2 linked regions of the Arabidopsis thaliana genome follow. The protein of the gene in region 2 binds, or shares a complex with, the protein of the main gene of each other region. Each region holds a gene or a part of one and is shown on either strand. Other genes may lie near its edges. The genes, in order: RAC10 and KINESIN-13A.

Region 1 (4,644 bases), on a different chromosome or scaffold from region 2:
TTCTAATTTATGACTTGATGTGTAAGTGTCGCATATCTTTTAACCTTGTCCGGTTTATATATTTCTTTTGCTTTCTTTTACGAAGGAAATGGTCTTAAGTAATAAAAATATGCTTTTATCTGCCTAACAGAAAAGCCTGCTTTCACGTCAAAAAGAAATCAAGAAAAAGTTGCTTTTTCCAAAAAGAGCTAAAAAAAAAACAGAGAGAGGTACACCGGAAAAACAACAACAGAAAGAGTTACATTTAATTTGGCCCGATTAAAGCCCATTTATGCTCTTACAGGCTCTCTCGGACCCATTGACATTTGTTCTATTATGTTTAGATGAAACTCGGCGTTTTTTTTTTTTTTTTTACTCCGTTATTTATTTGCCTTTGGGACTGGTCTGGTGAGTCCAGTGGTCGTTTCTCGTGTACTCGAGTCTCATCGGAAAGTCTTCGACTGAGTTCGTCGCTTCCATCTTTTTATGGCTTAATCTCCTTTTTTTGGTCAGGTGGAAGATAAAAAAACCTTTGGAACTGCTGTCTCAAAATCTTGAAGACAATGTGTCATTGGAACCGACTGGAATTAGCCTGCGACTACTGAAATATGAGACTCTTATGTAGAAAGTTTTAATGTCTATGTCAAGAGAGACAAAGTTTGGTCAGTTGTACTTTGAGGACAGTGATTTGACTGACACTGGACAATGTAACGACAAGAGATCAACATTAACAAACAAAATAAAATTACTTGATTGCTAATGTAGGACAATAACTGCTTGTCTTCACAGGGTTAAGCGAAGGAAGAGAGAGCTTCTCTGTTGTATCAAAATGGCTAATATATTGCAATAACAGGTTTGAAACAAATAAACACAATTGAATTAATAATAAGCTCTCTACCTCCCCCTCTTTCTCTCTTCAAGGTAACTATTGATTGATTAGAGGCTAATAATCTCTTACATGATTCAATCTATATAATATAAAGTCTCTCGTTTATCACACAATCTCAAAAGTGGAGTTTAAAATCATCAGACTGAGTTGGGTCATCGTCATCAATGCCGAGTCACTATCCTCCCACACAGAACATTTCTGCACATACAAAATAAACACAAAGGTGAAATCAGTACCCTTCATAAGATTGTAGATGCAGAGTTTGTAAAGATTTGTATATATACTCACGATAAACAGCCGTGATTCGACTTTTGCTTCTTCTTCTTCTTAGTCTTCTCCTTTTGTTTAACCAGAGGTTTGATCACTTCCTTTATCGCAGAATCAAAAACTGCTTTCACATTCTGCAATATATAAACTTCATCGCTTTGTTAATCCGAAGAAAAGAGTAACATAAAGAAGCTGCCTCATATACCTGTTGAGTTTTTGAACTACACTCAATGTAATACGTCGCACCAATTAGCTTACGCAACTCCTCTCCCTATCAGATAGAAATGTTCATTTAGTTAATACCATCAAGCCTTATAGTGGAATTATATGAAATCTAAAGTAAAAAGGCTCTTTAAGACTAAACCTGTGCAGTAGTTACAGGGGATAGTCCAGGATGATCAGCCAAATAATGCTTATCTTCACGAAGATCTACACCAGTGTTGTAAGAATCATTAGCTATGAATTGTAACTAAACGGTTAAGAGGAATCTGTTGGTAAATGCTCATCGGTTATTCTTACCTAATTTGGTACCAACAAGGACAAGGGGAACTCCTGGAGCAAAGTGTTGGAGTTCAGGGATCCACTGACTCAATAAGAACAGTCATATAACATTAGAAATGACTCATTCTGACACTATAAGAGTCTTATCGTTTTCAACAATTAGAGAAAAGGATCATTTATTCAATCAGACCTTTTTAAAAACATTCTCGTAGCTAGCTCGGCTGACTAATGAGAAAGACAAGACGAAAACATCTGCTCCCCTGTAACTTAAAGGCCTTAATCTGTTATAGTCTTCTTGCCCTGCAAACAAAGGATATACATATGTAACCTCATATGAGACAAAGCTATTCAATGGATCTCATTTATCAACCAAATGAAAGAACTAGACCAATAAGAATGTTATAAACCACTATAGGATTCAAGACTCAGAAAGAGTGTTCATACCAGCAGTGTCCCAAAGCCCCAAATTGACAGTGGTGCCTTCAACAACAACATTTGCACTAAAGTTGTCAAAAACTGTTGGTATGTAGTCCTGTTACAAACAATTCATCAAATCAATACACAGTTTCAAACTTTCAATCATCAAATCAAGCATATATACATATAATAATAATAATAATAGCAATGAAGAAAAAGTCTGACGAATCCAGACTCCAGAGGATGTTAAATGAAAAAAGATAACATAAAGCTGGACTATACACAAAAGCTGCAAAAACCCAGATGCGCCACACATACTTATGAAAAGTAAAAAAAATCAAAATCTCCAAAAATGGATCTTATATCATGCACAGTTCCTAGGAAAAAGGAGCTAACTTTGACATACCCAGATAGATTCTAAGAACCTTTATGGCAATAAGAAGCTGAAATTTAGTAGACCCAGATACTGAAATTGATTAAAATTTTGTAAAATTTGAGCTAAATCTGATAAATCCAGATGAGATTCCTGATCAAAATTCAAGAGAGAAAGAGAGGTCTTTTTAAAGAGAACTTACAGTGGGGAATTTATTGCTGGTGTAGCAGATGAGCATACAGGTTTTACCAACAGCACCATCACCAACAGTCACACACTTGATGAACTTTGAAGCACTTGAAGCCATTTTGATCTCAAAACAAACATACAAAGCAAATACCAAAAGGAAGCAAAAGAAATAGAGAGAGAGAGAGAGATAAATGAAGTGAGATTACTTAAAAAGAGGAGTAAAAGATAAATAAACCCTCTTTAGAGCATAGAAGAAGGTAGGGTTTGTTGCATAAATTTATGGCTTTTTTTTCTGTTCCTTTTTTACTTTTTTCTGTTTGTTTTTTCAATATTTCCAATTAGATAAACGAAATTGTTTATTGGTATTTGGTGGCTTGTTTTTGGTTTGAACTTGAAGATAGAGAAAGAGCGGTGATGACTCACATGATCCATCGTCCAAGCTTTCCTTTTCCAAATTCTTGTAGTTCATTTATTACTCCAACGAGCAAATTTGCATTGGAATTTGTTAACCAAATCTTGGTGGTTCAATCTTGTTTTTTTTTTTTTAAGTGTTTATTACACTTGTATTGGATTGTAAGAAAATGAAATAATGTGTATTACATACAAGTATGGCGTTACGAATCGAATTATAAGAGAAGGTAGATATTCGTCAAGTTAATAATAGTGTCACGTTGAGCCACACAGTGACAAGTGAAGATGGATATACCATATTTGTATACATTAACATGTACTGTCGAATACATGTTTTGCTATTTTTGTTTTTCTCTCGAGACTTACATATCATATAATGTATATAGCATAACTTACAAGCTAGGGTTACAAAATATATAAAATAATAGAATATCATAGCAACAAAAATTTATAGCAAAATCACTAAGACCAACCTTTCAACATTACTTATATCACAATTCACAAGTGTAAAACTGATAATTCTAAAATTGTAATTTTAGTTTAGGATATTCATTTATTATATTAGGATATATGGATTTTTTTATGTGGACCTACTTTTAAAAAAACTTATCATCTAATTTAATTTACTCAAGATATTTAAAATTGCCAACAAGAGTTTCGTTGGCAACAACCAGCAATAAAAATTCTCAATATTCACAAAGCAACTTTTAATACAGTTATTAAAAATTGAATACTCTTACCAAATAGTTCCTTTTTGTTTGTTTATGGATATAATTGCAGACTCATGGTTTAGAAAGTAAAAGTGTTTTTGTCATGTGTTTAAATAATCATTTATAGGTGGATGTTGGAGCCAAACTGTGTGAACATCTACCAAAAGCAGAAGATAAATGATTTTATTTTATAAGGTAAGTTAATTATTGGAGTAATACCTACGACTATATCGACGGCGACGCAACCACCATAAATATGAAAATGCAAAAGTATTGTTAACTAGAGAGGTCTTCAAAAGGACGACCACGGGAACTTATCGCTCTCTGGTCCAATATTTTAGTATTTTGCAAGTTATTTCCACCAAAAGCTCCAAAATACAAGTACAAATTAAAGTAGCTGATTAATAATACAATACAATGACAAAAGTATGGCCTAAACCAGATAAATATAGAGACTAGTAAGAACGAAAATCGCAAAAGGAGACTAGTAATCACATTAAACTAAATCAATATATGTGTATGTGTGTACAAGTGAATCCATAACTTTTGGTCTCTAAGGAAGACATGTAACAGGAGCATATGTCGTGCTGGTGTAAGGATAGCGTCATTGAAAAGAAACAAGAACAAACGATAAATATATATTTCCACAACAGTTGATGCGCGTAAAAGCAAAACGTGATTAACAGTGGAAATTATCCATAAAGTGAAAAAGACTTGAAGATCACAAATCCGAGTTTTGGCAGTAAGAAATATGGTTATTGGATTTGAAGTTGGGTTAATATTGAAAAAGTAAAAGTTTTTTCGAATATATCATATGAACTCAACAAACAAATGCAACGGGCCCGACAACTCAATATATGGGCCACATCCGAAACGAGCCGACCCACGTAATGGAAGTCCCTTGCCAG
Region 2 (8,192 bases):
CACCCAAAATCACGAAACACTGCACCAACCAAATTTTGTATCCTCGTTACTTTTAAATCCACAAGACACTAAATTAAATGGGAGTGAAACTAATATTTTCCAAATCGTAGGTATATTTTGCTCATAGGAATTCAGAAAATACAAAGAAGAATCTATTGATATTGAGGAGAAAAAGTGATGGCGAGAATCTAACCTGGTTAGAGAAGGCAAAAGTCTGGAAAGAAAAAAAAACAACTTCATGCGCTTTTTTTGTATTTGTATAAATCGCCTTTTACTCGCCTGCGACAGTGCGACTACGACGGGAAGGAGAAGGAGATAAGCGACTTTCATGGACGGTTTAAATCGGTTTGGGTTTTAACATCGGACGGTGGAAAATGGCTCTTATATTGCAATCGTGAAAAAGGCATGTCACGTGATCAATAGTAAAGTGTGGGCCAAGGCCTTTTTAGTTGGGCTGCATAATCTTGTTGGCCATTTTATCTTTACGACAAGAGAGAATTGCTTTATTTGTTCTTTTGGAGCTATTCAACTGTCTTTTCATTGGTTGTCACTATATAGATGGTATTTGAAGATCTTATTAATTGTTAGAAATTTGATTTTATATATGGCTCACCAAATTTTGAAACATTTTCAGATGATAAATGGTTTTATACTTTTTCAGTTGATTGATAAAAGAGTTTGATTCACATTGACAGTATCCAGCTTTCTGGGAGGATAGAGGAGAAGAGAAAAATAAGAAACACAAAAGGTATAACTTTATAATAAAGATTCAAAAATAAAAGGAAAGAAATGCCCAAATTCACAAACATGAAGGACATTTCTGTCATTCTTTGTCATATATAAGAAGAGATCACCCAACCAACCTTTCACACTTAAACAACACCACACTTTTGGTTTTCCTTCTTCTACCAACTACCGAGGAACTCTCTTACGGCTCAGTATTTCTTGTTCCTTGAGACGGTGTTGGAACCGAGCAAGCCTGGCTTGAAGACTGACTAGCCCTGCTGCTTTCCGGGACAACACAAAGCTCAGTTGCGTCACATAGTTTTCTATCATGCTTCCCGGTTGGTCCACCTCCGCTAGAAGTTTCATTTCCTGATAATGATATAACAGAAAAGAAAATTGAATGATGTGATAACATTCTACAATCGTTTTTTGTGCGCTGCAATGATGTGATTTACATACCTCGCGAACAATCTCCATTGTATCCTCAATTTCTTTTCTGTGCGCTGCAATCAGAGCTTCTTCTTCCTGAAAAAAGTCATGTGATGGTTACGATAAGACATAAACAGAACTACCGTTACTTGCAAATCAAATTCACAGCTTCATCTCATGTTTTAAAGGGATAGGTGAGTACTTTACCTCAAGCAGTGCATCGAGGTTTTCATCAAGCGAAGGGTCGGTTTCATATTGCCTTGAAGCGGTTTCATATTGCCTTGAAGCAGTTTCACTTGCGTTCTGTCTAAAATTTGTCAAGGTAGGGATATCCGACGAACTGACATCTCTTTTAGACCAATTTTGTGGTCTGTCTGGTTTTTCTTCCCGCAACCCTTTCCCACGAGGTGGTGACACTTTCTTTACTTTCTCTTCACGGTCTGAAGTTTCTTGGGGATATGAAGAAATGTTGTTTCTCTGACTAGTGGAGCCAGCAAAAGAACTGTTCGGCTCTGATCTTCCCTTGTCCATTGAGAATGATGGGATTCCACTTTCCTCTCGATAATTTGTAGGCTGTCTGAAGTCAATACCCGACGTACTGCTGTTGCTGTCCTTCTCGACCACCCTCCTCCTGGTTTCTGGTACATTCACTTCCTGTGGAGGCTCAAAGACATCTTCTACATCATTTGGGCCCAACAAAGGATCCTTATTAACCGGAGGCATTGAATTCGCAGTTTGATCTTTCTTGCTATTTCCACTTTTAGATAGACTTTTGACTCTGTTTATTCCATACATAACCAACAGAGGTTAATAGACGATGAAATTGAGAATTTGTTTCACAAGAGGCTATAGTTTGTACAAAACATACCGATCAGCATATCTTAGAGTATTGAGGGTATGTTCACACGATCCTGCATTTGGAGAGATGCAGGAAATCATCACCGTTCTTGAGTTTCCAACAAATGAGTCACGGAGCACTTCCGTTAGTTTGCTTCCACGAAATGGTATATGTAGCTGGTCATTGTCCAGTGCACGTATACATTCCTTAAGAGCCAAGAGACTCTTGTTGATTTCTGCGCCTTCAATCCTAAGAAAAATCCACAATGAAAACAATGAAGCATTTAGATCTGAAGTGTGGTGGTCCTAAAGTAAAAAGGTAGCAGCAAAGTGCCACTTTATCAATGCCCACAAGTCCAACAGAGGCATAAATTTTAATCTACACATTAGTGGTAGGTCAATTCTCAAACTACTCAATCACAGGGGCAAAGAGAATCTTTACCTTGTCTGGCGATCATTGTCTGTGGTGTCTGCACCTCTTTCACTGCCAGCAAGGTCAATGAAAGAAATCTTTCCCACAACTTTCCCAGGCAATTCATTACTATCATTATTCCTCCGTCTAGTGTCTTTTACCTCAACATGCTTTTTTACAACAAGCTGTAGGATGGCATGCGATCTAGAAGATTCCTCATTTGCTCCAGTTGAACCTGTGCTCCTTTCGGCATTTCCTTTCTCGATAAAATCCTTTACAATTTGTACATCTGAAACTTCATATTCTTGCAGGCCAACAATGCAAACTTGCTGTCTACCATCTTCTCGCATGCAAAGTTTCCTACTCGGCAATAACTGAATGATTTAGACAATGGTAAACATGCATTTGCGATAGTAGTAGACAACAATGGAAAGTATTGACACTGATAGGATGAATAAGTGCCAATGTTTACGATATACTGACATCGAAATAACAATTATAAGCTAGTATATGCCTGAACAAAGTATATGCCAAAAGAAAAGGAAAACATAAAACCCCTCAACAAAGACGACATTTATAAGAAATGAGAAAAAGAAAGAACACTAACTTTCTCTCACTGAGAAGATCGAACAGCTTTCCACCATATATCTCAAAATAGCTGAGCCACAATTTAAACCTCTGATTGCTGTATACTGGTTGACGCAACAACCTCATAAGATCTTCAACTGCTCGTATAGGTAATGGTTTCATTGTAAATGTCTTACCACTACCTGAATAAGCAAAACATCATTAGGGCCATGAAAGCATGAAGAAACTATTAATCTATTATCCTCTAAAAACTGGAATCTGTTAGCAAGAGTATAACTATCAGTGTATTTCCCAATGAACATTAATGTCATTGCATACCTGTTTGGCCATATGCAAAGCATGTAGCTTTAGTTCTCTGGAAAATAATGGGAATTATTGGCTCAATTGTGGCCCGATACACCTATTCAAGGAAACAAACAAACATGTTCAAAGCAGCATAAAGCTTCTGTATATATAAAAAGCTTAATGTATCCATACATCAATCCAATCTGGATTGGGGGAAACCACATGCTATGATCTAGTTAATAGGTCAATCAGGTATGTCGACCTTGACATAAATCATAAATCTACCAAAGCTCAAGGTTGCATCACGGACACCTAATAGGATTTTCTATGGTTTCCAATAAGCTCAATTCTTAACTTACCTCGTCATTTGAAACATCCTCATCTAGAACAGCATCAAAGCAGAACTCATGCTTTTCCACATAAGCAGTCAAATCAACCTGCACCAACAAGATTACGGTTCATTCAATATTCGAAAAGACAATATTAAATGAAAAGAATATATGACCTTTAATAGCAGGATGCCATCGTTCAGTTGTTCAACTGAATCATGTTTGCCATTGTTATCTATGATGAAGAATGCACACAAACCTTCACTCTGGGCTCATGGACAGTCAAAGAATTATCAGATACCGTCACGACATCCTCCTCCTTTTTAGCTGTTTCTTTCTTGTTTAGGGGTCTTTTCCTTACCTATAGACAAAAAAAAAAGTGGTTTCCCAATCATCCCTAGTCATAATGAACGTTGCTTATAAAACAATCAAGTAGTAAGGAAACATGTCAGTTCTCAAGTGAATGACCTACCACTACTTTAATCTTGGCTACACTGTTATTTTCTTTATCACTTTTAGGCAATAAACCCAAAGGTTCAGCTTCTGTCTGTTGCCGCTGTTGACGATTAGCTGCCAAATTATAGTCTTCTTCAAATTCTTTATTTACACTAGGCATGAAAGGTGACGGCTCAAAGGGTTCGGTAATCACATGCTGCAAAATGAAAGGAAAGTCACGTATCATAAAAGTTGGTAACTTTCACATGGATAATCGCTTTCTTTATGAACTAGCAAATGCAACAAGCAGTTATTTAGCTCAGATGCTTTTCTAATGACAACAAGACCAAAACTGTCACATCTCGCTAAATCCATTCGAGTGTCAAGATCAGAAGTTGCCTACAGAAGTCTCGCAGATAGATTACATGTGCACAAAGCCAATGGATTAGGTGGGACTCAATATGGCAATGTAAGATTGGCAAGAACAGTTTGAAAACTGGGATGTAACACAAGAACAGACAATCTGATGATGAAAATTTATGATCTTTCTGTTATCCATGGGCACTAATGAGTAACTATGAATAAGTCTTTGCACTAGTTCTTCTTCCAAGCATACCTCAGATAGAAGCTCTGTATCATCCATTGCATGAAGATCCAATAATCCTGCTCCAAAATCACCTCTGAACTCAGGTGAAAAAAATCCTTCCGAAGAGGGCATAGCTGCTGATGTGTGAGCAGTTGGTGTATATGATTCAGAAGTCGACTCCCCATTAAAATTGAGATTTCTCATTAGTTGGAACAGTCTTTGTTTCTCTTCAGCAGTCTGAGCTCCATAACCCTAGCAGATACCGCAAACACCACAAAGGATGCTTCAAATATCAGAACCCGTTCATGCGAATTATACAAGAGCCAAGGCAAAAGTTTCTATAGAAATTTACCAATCGAAGAAGAAATCACTAACAACCCTGCAGCAAACATCTAACTTAATCACATTACATAAATGGCCAAACAAATTCCAAGCTCTCCTTGAGATACGTTATGACTAATATCCATAACAGGGAGAAACAATCCTACATTCCTAATTTCCTACTGCAGCGTTTTTAGTAGTCTAACACCAAATGTGCGCAGGAATTAGCGACCGAAAACTCTAACAAAACTTGGCTATCTGCGTCTAATACAAAATTTGCATACTTTACCAAGCTAGGGCAAACTCCATCAAGAAAACTAAAGGGCATGCAAAATATTGGAAGAGTACAGAAACAAAGAATCAGGGAAAGCAATTACCTGCATGAGAAGGTTTGGGAGGTGACGCTGATCATTGCCTGTAGAAGCAACAGGAGACGCCAAATGCTGCAAACCAGCGGATTGAAGCCACCGTGCCATGACTGCATCTCCTGCGTCATTAGTGGGTAAAGCCCCATCGTAAAGCGCCGTCGCAGCCGCAGCATTGTTTTGCTGCATTTGGCCGCCCATGAGGCGCTGTGATCTTCTTTGAGGAGCCAACTTCGGAGATCTGTAAAAACAACTCTTCATCCATACAAAAACCAGAATCACCCATTTGTTACAAATCAAAAAATTCCTAATTTCAACAATAGAATGTTAGATTCAAATCGAAGAGAAACTCACAATGTGGAGAGAATTCGGATTCAACACAGAACATGAAAGCGGAAATGTACAGCTCCCGACTTTGCTTCACCTCCTTCAAAATCTGAAATTCAATCAATAAATTGCATCCAATAATCGGAGAAGAAGATCGATGTTATCCAAAGTAATGATTACCAGAAGGAAACGAAGACACGCAACGGTGTTAGATAAGAGATCTGAGATCTGAGATTTTCACAATATACAATCAGATCCGACGAGTGAAGAACCCTAATTTACGCACATCGAATAGCGTTAGAGATAGAGAGATAGAGAGATAGAGAGAGAGAGCTTCTGTTCAAAATTTTCGTCTTCTTCCGTAAGCGACGTTAGGCGCAGAGAGATGAGAAAGAGAGGGGCGTTGAAGAAGATTTGACAAAGTATAAGACACTTACACAATAAATTAAAAAGTTTGAGGTGTTTAAAAGTTTTTTAAAAAAGTGACAGTTAGATCACCCTTTAACTTCAGAAATATTCACCGATTTGTCCTACTTTTTAAGATTGTACAGTCTAGTCCAAAACATTTGAAACAATCTTCTTTGAACGGTCTTATATATTCTAAAAGATAGTGTTGAAATATTATTTTTTTGCTGAGATCGTGACACAAGGACATATACCAACATGGTGACATAAAAATAGAATTGATGTTCTCATCTTGAATCATACGGTATGAATCTCATACCTTTTTGAGCAGATTGCATAAACATTGATTGGTTTATTATATATGTAGTATAACTAATAATATAACCTTGGTGGGTTGATCAGTTATGTGCATTTTCAGATTTTAGCTACTTTATGGTATTTAAGGATGTTGTTTTGGACCATCTATGGTAATAGAGATGAAATTTGAAATTGTCCGAGGAAGATGACATGAGTTTTTCTCGACATGAAATCCACAACTTTTGGAATTTTAGTACATGACAATGATCTAATCTTATATATTCTTATGTTTGTTTAAATTTTTATACGGTTTCAAATTTTGAATTGTTTAGATGTGCGAATATAAGTGAGTGTATATCAAAAGTACCAATCTTGTGTATGTATGTGTACTGTTTAAACCCCAAAAAAAAGTGTTAATCCAATAAAATATACGAACGAGAATATGCAAAAGTAGCGAAGTGGGGCTAATACAGCTTGTGGGTTCCTTTCTTTTGAATCAAAAAGCTTTTGCTTTAGCCTAAAGCATTCCGATCTAAAGGATTCCTGATTTTAAGTAATCACTATATAAACCAGTATGAAAGGAGCTTTTCCTTTATTTATCCTTCCTAAAAACATTGGTCTCTCTAGTTTTGTGTAAGTTTAGATGATCTACCTCCTTTGTATGGCTACGTCAATATAGTCATATAGATAGAAGTTGATACTACTTGTTACATAAGAAATGTTTAAATAGTGTAGGCTAAAAGCCTAAAACGAAAGGAACAACAAAGTTTGAAGAAATAATGACGATAAATACATAAGATACAAGAGAGTTGGAGCAACGTCAAACCGACCAAGACCAAATCACGTTTCCTTTTACGTGAGACACAAATACGTACCAACGCATTTTGGTTGCCCTCTCATCCATACGGACACCACACATACATAAATAAATAGTTCGAATAATAAAACCAACAAACTAAAAGAATAGTAAAGCATAGGATAGGTTGTGTTGTTTGTCAAAGTAAAAGAATACACATAATACATTATTATTACGGCCACATTGTGATTTGTCTCACAACTAAAACCAAGATGACAGAACTCTAGTTAGTATCGATTCCGCACGTGAGATAGAAATCCTTGATAAGGAGCAGAACATGCCTATGATGATGTCTCAAGACATCATGTCTGTACGAAACTTTTTCTTTTTAAAGGGATAAAACACCATTAGACTAAAGTCAAAAGAATCATTCTACAGCATATTCCATGATTTAAAGTTACTAACAGTTAGAGTAACCCACTCGTTTATTCACGTCCATAAGATCTGAATCCAAAATTATTAGACATCTACTATAAACATGCCTCGAGATTCGGGAGTTTAATTTAGAAAAGCAAAGCTGAAGAGATATCACACCAAATAACACAAAAAGTAACGACCAAAATTCAACTAATTGTAAATGATAAACCGTTTTTTGCGGAATAAATAACTTGAGAATCTTCCAACACAGAAAACAAGAAGAGAGAAAAGTAAACTGGCAGGTAATTTTAATAGGGGACGACGACGAAACACAGGACAATATAAAGAAACATAAACTTAGAGAGTCGCTGCGACCGACCACAGTAACCCAACGAGAGCTTCTCTCTCAGCACTTGACCTCCTTCAAACCATGAGCGAAGTACAAAAATGTTGGGTTAGTTGAACCCTCCTTGTAGTAAGCAAAGACCAAAGTGCTGTCATCATGCATACCCTCCCCAACAAAGCTGTAAAATCAGACAACACAAGCATTGATGAGATTTCAGATGAAATATATGTCATGTATAACAAGCAAGATACGATAGATTGGGGTAACTTACAATTGGAAGTCACTGAGCCT

Evidence for each region.
Region 1: KINESIN-13A (region 2) and RAC10 share a complex: the UniProt entries of both Arabidopsis thaliana proteins name them as parts of the active ARAC10-IRC5-KIN13A complex.

The regions. Positions count from the first base shown.
Region 1 is NC_003076.8:25,235,325-25,239,968, reverse strand, and holds RAC10 (RAC-like 10), read right to left. Parts: upstream 3,007-4,644; 5' UTR 2,734-3,006; coding exon 2,629-2,733; intron 2,169-2,628; coding exon 2,081-2,168; intron 1,937-2,080; coding exon 1,827-1,936; intron 1,719-1,826; coding exon 1,655-1,718; intron 1,565-1,654; coding exon 1,500-1,564; intron 1,407-1,499; coding exon 1,341-1,406; coding exon of another isoform or gene 1,270-1,340; coding exon 1,157-1,269; intron 1,067-1,156; coding exon 1,030-1,066; 3' UTR 707-1,029; downstream 1-706. UniProt on the Arabidopsis thaliana protein: Involved in local disassembly of cortical microtubules when associated with ICR5 and KIN13A.
Region 2 is NC_003074.8:5,661,748-5,669,939, forward strand, and holds KINESIN-13A (P-loop containing nucleoside triphosphate hydrolases superfamily protein), read right to left. Parts: upstream 6,205-8,192; 5' UTR 5,821-6,204; intron 5,750-5,820; 5' UTR 5,668-5,749; intron 5,569-5,667; 5' UTR 5,515-5,568; coding exon 5,326-5,514; intron 4,880-5,325; coding exon 4,658-4,879; intron 4,259-4,657; coding exon 4,079-4,258; intron 3,968-4,078; coding exon 3,866-3,967; intron 3,715-3,865; coding exon 3,637-3,714; intron 3,393-3,636; coding exon 3,311-3,392; intron 3,175-3,310; coding exon 3,012-3,174; intron 2,765-3,011; coding exon 2,435-2,764; intron 2,243-2,434; coding exon 2,024-2,242; intron 1,934-2,023; coding exon 1,363-1,933; intron 1,252-1,362; coding exon 1,186-1,251; intron 1,096-1,185; coding exon 913-1,095; 3' UTR 628-912; downstream 1-627. Other genes in the region: TCTP (translationally controlled tumor protein), read right to left, coding at 7,962-8,079, 8,173-8,192. UniProt on the Arabidopsis thaliana protein: Internal motor kinesin involved in trichome morphogenesis. Participates in regulating the formation of Golgi-associated vesicles.